2 linked regions of the Drosophila melanogaster genome follow. The protein of the gene in region 1 interacts with the protein of each later gene in a pairwise test. Each region holds a gene or a part of one and is shown in the gene's direction. Other genes may lie near its edges. The genes, in order: Amy-p and Obp47b.

Region 1 (3,927 bases):
ATTCAGCTCGCGTTTTGATCATTGCGCATATGATTCGTTGGAAAAGTGATTGCTGCTGCTGGTGAAGAGGCTTGTAGGTTTGTCACTACAGGAAATCAGCAGGTGTGATATATTGTTTATAACATTTTGGCATGTGTCCAGCAAACCCTTGACGTTGAATAATAATTAAATTTTCTTATAGTTGTAGCTTTATCTATTATTTGTGTAGCTTGAATGATTTATTGTTCTTTGAATGTGATAAGAGAATGAGATAACGTTTAGAGTGACGATGATAAGGTGAATTCAAACAATCAGTTAAATCAAAACTTTGTTAATTAATTGCAAGTCTTAACATCCAAAAAGTTGATAAGAGTAAATTAATTTATCAGTCTTAGAAAATTGTGGTAATTAATTGTGAGACTTTAGTTTGTAAGCAAGAAAGTTAATTTTCTGTGAACTTTCAGGAGTCTTAGGCTAAATGAAAACAAAATTAACTGGGAAGCGAATTACCCGAGTAACTCCACATTGCAGCGAGATATAAACTGAAATTAAAAAGTATCTTCTACATGGGGAGTTACGTCTTGGGTTGAGTCCGAGGCTTTGGGGTAAGGGATTTCTTCGTCCTTCGACTGATTTATGCGCTTATCACGCAGGCGTCGCCGTTTTTATGTCGCTGTCGTCGCCGTCTGTCGGCCATAAATGTCCTGGCCCGAGTCCTGGTCACAAATTTGCCAGTTTAATGCTCCCCCGGATCTCGACTAGCGCTTTTCAATTTCTCCACACATACCTGCGAAATGGCTTAGGCTCATCCTTCGCCCTTCGTGACAGTTTTTCATTACGCACAAATCCTTCGGGCATACACAGTCACATTAAAAAAGGATGTTGACTAAGAGCCAAAAGTAAAAAGGAACAGGGTGCGATGTAAGCAAACAGCGAATGGAGACTGCCGTCTTAGGAATTTCATAAAAATCGTTGCCGGCTTATCGCAGCTTTAAGATGTCTGCATGTCCTGTGGGTGCTCGCATGTCCTTTGCCCTGCGACACTTTCAAAGTGACATTATGCAACTTTGAGCGGCAGCAACAAGAACTGCAGCTATCTAAATTACCCAGAGACATCCGGCATGGCAGGACGCTCTTATGCGCTCAAGGATCAACAGGAAGCGCCCCAAGGAGTCTGACTAGCTCCATGTGTTGCATTTTGCCATTCTTGTTTTTTTTTTTTTGTTACGTTTCTTTGCTCTGCAAATTTCATTTGGCACTGCGACAGGAAGGAAATGTGAGCATGCAAAGCCGAAAAAGGTCCTGCATAGACACAGATAAGTTGCGCAGCAGTCGCCAATTAATCCGTCGTCCTGGACGTGTTAACATTCCGCCACTTCAGAACCCAGAGATCAAGTGGCCGCCAGTCAAGGCCAGAAGTCACGTATTCCAGAGAACGGCGCAGCCAAAGCTTCAAACCAAAATCGCTTGCTACCTTTATTTTCAACATTTTTAGGCGATATTGCATGATTTCAATGCTTTCAAATACGCTAAAAAATCCAAATAACAATTCACAGTAAACCCGCTCCTAGGAGCGTGAACGTAATAAATAGTCAATAAATTCCCAACTGAAACCGATTTCAAAGGAATGCATTTTCCCGATGAGTTATTGATACAAATATAACGAAAATAAGCCGACTCACTAATCATCAGCGAAAAATTGCGATCTCCAGTCTGCTCGAAATTCTGATTAGACAAACTAATCGCCAGTCAGACCCCATGCGTGAAAAAACCCCTTAGGGAGCGATAAGATCCCATGCAGTCACAAATCACTCCCCGCGAAGCCCTCAGATAAAGTAGCAGTGGGGTCCACTATATAAGGAGCGGCTCTGAGTAGTTCCGACCAGAGTGAAACTGAACTTCCATCTGGAATTACCATGTTTCTGGCCAAGAGCATAGTGTGCCTCGCCCTCCTGGCGGTGGCTAACGCCCAATTCGACACCAACTACGCCTCCGGTCGTAGTGGAATGGTCCACCTCTTCGAGTGGAAGTGGGACGACATCGCTGCCGAGTGTGAGAACTTCCTGGGACCCAATGGCTACGCCGGTGTTCAGGTCTCCCCTGTGAACGAGAACGCCGTCAAGGACAGCCGCCCCTGGTGGGAACGTTACCAACCCATCTCCTACAAGCTGGAGACCCGCTCCGGAAACGAGGAGCAGTTCGCCAGCATGGTCAAGCGCTGCAACGCCGTCGGAGTGCGCACCTACGTGGACGTGGTCTTCAACCACATGGCCGCCGACGGAGGCACCTACGGCACTGGCGGCAGCACCGCCAGCCCCAGCAGCAAGAGCTATCCCGGAGTGCCCTACTCCTCGCTGGACTTCAACCCGACCTGCGCCATCAGCAACTACAACGACGCCAACGAGGTGCGCAACTGCGAGCTGGTCGGTCTGCGCGACCTTAACCAGGGCAACTCCTACGTGCAGGACAAGGTGGTCGAGTTCCTGGACCATCTGATTGATCTCGGCGTGGCCGGATTCCGCGTGGACGCCGCCAAGCACATGTGGCCCGCCGACCTGGCCGTCATCTATGGCCGCCTCAAGAACCTGAACACCGACCACGGCTTCGCCTCGGGATCCAAGGCGTACATCGTCCAGGAGGTCATCGACATGGGCGGCGAGGCCATCAGCAAGTCCGAGTACACCGGACTGGGCGCCATCACCGAGTTCCGCCACTCCGACTCCATCGGCAAGGTCTTCCGCGGCAAGGACCAGCTGCAGTACCTGACCAACTGGGGCACCGCCTGGGGCTTCGCTGCCTCCGACCGCTCCCTGGTATTCGTCGACAACCACGACAATCAGCGCGGACATGGAGCAGGAGGCGCCGACGTTCTGACCTACAAGGTGCCCAAGCAGTACAAGATGGCCTCCGCCTTCATGCTGGCGCACCCCTTCGGCACTCCCCGCGTGATGTCCTCCTTCTCCTTCACGGACACCGATCAGGGCCCGCCCACCACCGACGGCCACAACATCGCCTCGCCCATCTTCAATAGCGACAACTCCTGCAGCGGCGGCTGGGTGTGTGAGCACCGCTGGCGCCAGATCTACAACATGGTGGCCTTCCGAAACACCGTGGGCTTGGACGAGATCCAGAACTGGTGGGACAACGGCAGCAACCAGATCTCCTTCAGCCGAGGCAGCCGCGGCTTCGTGGCCTTCAACAACGACAACTACGACCTGAACAGCTCCCTGCAGACGGGCCTGCCCGCCGGCACCTACTGCGACGTCATTTCCGGCTCCAAGAGCGGCTCCTCCTGCACGGGCAAGACCGTCACCGTCGGATCCGACGGACGGGCTTCCATCTACATTGGCAGCTCCGAGGACGATGGAGTGCTGGCCATTCACGTCAACGCCAAGTTGTAAACAACTGGGGAACATGGCGAACAGCCAGGCAATAAATTGAGATTATTAATTGTACGAAATATATATGATGAGATTATAAACACACAACACTTTTATTCGCAAGGGATGATAAGAATCTAATATATATATTATCTGGGCTTCAAAGCATTGATTTTATTTATTGAGTCAAGAGGGAAATTTATTTTCTTGTTATTCTCTGTCCAGGTCTAAAGTCCCCAGCGGTGAGGCTATCTATTGATTTGGACATTCCAATCGAATACAAAACAGAGATACAGAAATTTGCGAAAAAATTTGATAACAATCGTGGATTTTACGAATTAGACAAATTGATATGTGCTTGCTAATTGATGTGGCATGAAATAAGAAATTTATAAGGACGTTTTCAAGTGCTTCTATTTTAAACATTCATGGATTTTTTTTTAAAGCAGACAGCTTTCAACAGGTTTGATGAGAATTTGAATATTGATTGTTGACTTTAGCTATACATAAATCACACCTCATCCACCCATTGGTGGTATCCTTCGAAGGACTTGGGAACTGGTAGGCT
Region 2 (3,568 bases), 5.8 Mb from region 1:
CATTTGCCGCGTTATAAGTGTGCTATCGTCGGGTAACTCGGCCAGGAAATAAGGTCCCATTTCAGGCAGCATTTTCTCAGAATCCAATGCGGGAAGTGTCTCAAATTCCAGATTAAATTCCTCCGCCTTATCCTGCAATGTTGTGGGATATACATCATATGTTATAAAAGGTTGAATGTCGTGAGCATACCTCAAAACTATGTTTTATCTTCCAGGCATAGCCTTCTTCAAAGGCAAGCGCGTTGATTTGTAGGTGAACCGATTTATAGTGCCGTTCAGTAAAACACACCACTTGGCCTAACGTTTTGAAGAACTTTCGCAAAGCTGCCTTGAACTTGTTGAGCTCCTTCCAATCATCTGGACTTAGTTGAGCAGCGCAGGGCACATGCTTGGTGGACAATATCATGACATGGTGTTTGTTAATCGGTCCTTTGGCCAGAGCAAGATAAAAATGTTCGCCCACAGTGATAATGAGATGCTTCTCCACATCAGGTGAGGATAAACAGAACCAGCATTTATCTACAAATATAGGAATAGTATTAAGGATGCAGCTTGTAAAATTAAGTACTAGACAAACCTTGCTCAATCTGCGGTATTCTAGGACGTTTATCTCTTTTGTTATTATCACCGCCTTGTCGCTTGCGTCTGCCACCATCCATGTCGTAGAAGTATTGTCGGTTTTCTGACTGAAAGAATATATAATTAGTCACTTGGAGTACTTATAGATATGTAAAGGTTACCCACCGAATCATTCTTGCCAATAGCTCCGCCTAAGTCCAAGCCAATGAAAGGACACGGAATTTCATTTGTTGTCTTCTGCGCTAGGTCCAATAAGCGTGATTTGTCTACTGGCTTCAGGCTGAGTGCATAGATGTACTTGGCTTTTTCGGCATTTCCCACTTCCGCAAGGGAAATGAAGCGAGTGCACAGTTCAAACTGGGTAGTCTCATCTTTGGGCATCCGAAAGGGTGCGCTTTCGTAGTGTGTTCCATTAATGGCACAAAAGTGATAGCGCGGCTTTATTTCACGACAAAGAAATGATACCAACTTGGATGCTGTGGCCTGAGAAGAGGAATTAGTTAGTTTCACAGTAACAAGTGCTCTAGATGTATATTTACGTTTTCCTTCTCCTGCATACCAAAGGGCCATTGCGATGTTAGGAGCACATCCACACCGCGGTACTCTGTGGAGCAGTTCTTGGACACCAAACATGAGTTCCTCACAGCGATGACATCGGCTTTGGTGAACTCGTGTTCCGAGCCAGCGGAATCTGCAGTGCCCTGTGCCTCCAAACCACTTAGATAGGCAATTTTAACACCACTGCTCAGCGTGTAGACCCCACGTCGACCAAGATACGTAAGATTGGTGCAGATTTCACCGTCCGTCAGATTTTCAAAGTATTTTTCATGCTCCCTTTGGTTGGGTCCCAGGATATAGGTGGGAACAGTGACTAAGTACAGGGAAAGGGTTAAGAGAATAATAAATGCTTATATTACACTTAACTTACTATGCTTAAAACCATTTTTGTAGGCAATCAGTTCCTCGTTTTGCTTGTCCTCCCCGAAGAAGTCACCGACGCAGCAAAGGATTTCGAAGGGTCCCGCTTTTTTGTTGACCTGCTCCACGCGCTGAAATAGCTGCTTGAAGCGACCTCGCACATCGCCCACAACTAGGCTAGGAGAAATAAACAATATTAAACCCTTAAATCATATAATTTATACCATGTTTTTTACTCACATTTTGGTGCCCGCGTCCATGGTTATCGATAACTGAGCAATCGATTGAATCTTCATCATGTTGGTACTGCCAACTTGGTGCATTAATTGGGCGGCAGAATTCGTAATGGAAATCTAATTAGGTCATTGATTATTTTAGAAATATTAAATTTCTCAAAGCCAAATCATGTTCCTTTTACCGAATTGGAACATAATTCTCGCAATTATAGACCATTTCGAGCACCATGACACATTTTACAGCAGCATTCCCAGCACCACAGTTTTTTTTCGGCAATTGCTGTTTAATTGAGCGAAGAACGTTCTATGCTTATATAACGAACTATAACCTTACCGCAATGTCAATGGCCCAAAACATGACATTATTTATGACATTGGCCCCAAACAGCAGCAGATTGCAACAATGAACTTTTGCTGGGCTTTTCTGGTCATGCGTGGCTGGCACTATTAAGTGGCCATTACTCTTTTCGTTCCATTAGATTTGGAGCTGCGTGAGGGATATAAAATGGGCCTTGCGATTTCATATTCATATCAGTCATTTTACTCACTCAATTGCAGCTATGTCGCCCAGTCAGCTTCTTGTGATCTTCGCTTCGCTGGCCCTAAATACTCGTCTAGTATTTGGCCAAGCCACGATTGATTGCCAAAGACCACCGCAACTAGTGGTGGGTTTTGAGTTTGGTTTTTTTTTAATTTTAAAGTGATTCTTAAGATATTTTGACACTTTCCTAGGATCCCGCACTCTGCTGCAAGGATGGGGGTCGCGACCAGGTGGCTGAGCAGTGCGCCCAACGGATTTTAGGAACAGCAAATGGACAGAAGGCAGGAGGTCCTCCATCTTTGGACACGGCAGCAGTGAGTAATCTCAGCCTATGAAATTGTTAAGAAGTCGCAATACATAATACATTATCTACTTAGTGCCTAGCTGAGTGCATCCTCACATCCTCCAAGTATATTGATGAGCCCCAGAAACTAAACCTGGCAAACATACGCAGTGATCTCTCCGCTAAGTTCTCCAACGATACCCTTTACGTGGAAACCATGACCATGGCGTTCTCCAAGTGTGAGCCCCAATCGCAGCGCAGACTGGCCATGATCATGCAGCAGCAACAACAGGTGCAGCAGCAAAAGACGCAGCAGCAACAACCAAGATGCAGCCCCTTCTCAGCCATCGTCCTTGGGTGCACCTACATGGAGTACTTCAAGAACTGCCCCGATCATCGGTGGACTCCAAATGCCCAGTGTACTCTGGCCAAGGCCTACGTAACGCAGTGCGGTTTGGGTGCCTAACATCACGACCTGATAGAGATGGTGCTTGTACAATGTACATACGTTTATAAAAAGTAGTCATTAAATAAGAATCAAATTAACTTTTTATATTCATCTAATTTTGGATCGCTGGAACTAATTAACGAGGTAGTAACTATGTGACGATCGCACCTGAAGTATACAAACGATCTGAATTAAAACTTGTGACGAAATATTAACCGTTTTTTAGATTATCTCACTTTGTTTAGGTTTGAAATAAAATATAAAGAAAATGCTATTTTATATTGTTGTTCTTTCCGTTAATCATAGAAGTACGCACCATATACATTTATGTAACATGGAGTAAGGCTGAAGGCTGGCAACAACCCGGTTGGCAGCGCTGTTGAGCAGCAACATGATTGTCGGAAATCGAAGTTATCGACAATCAGTCATCGAAGGAACGATCGCAAGGCAGCAGTGGAGTCGAGTGGAAGTCAGCGTTGCAGTCAGTCGAGTTCTCAGCAGCAGTCGTTCGGTCACAAACTAAGAATACTTTATATAATTACCGCATTTAGAATTAAACTAAT

Evidence for each region.
Region 2: the proteins of Amy-p (region 1) and Obp47b interact in a two-hybrid assay, tested with the Drosophila melanogaster proteins (one large-scale study listed by BioGRID).

Annotation. Positions count from the first base shown.
Region 1 is NT_033778.4:17,118,239-17,122,165, reverse strand, and holds Amy-p (amylase proximal), read left to right. Parts: upstream 1-1,862; 5' UTR 1,863-1,895; coding exon 1,896-3,380; 3' UTR 3,381-3,530; downstream 3,531-3,927.
Region 2 is NT_033778.4:11,301,702-11,305,269, reverse strand, and holds Obp47b (Odorant-binding protein 47b), read left to right. Parts: upstream 1-2,282; 5' UTR 2,283-2,293; coding exon 2,294-2,398; exon of another isoform or gene 2,399-2,465; coding exon 2,466-2,588; exon of another isoform or gene 2,589-2,651; coding exon 2,652-3,023; downstream 3,024-3,568. Other genes in the region: CG7741 (uncharacterized protein), read right to left, coding at 1-132, 191-519, 578-686, 745-1,062, 1,119-1,450, 1,508-1,674, 1,738-1,820.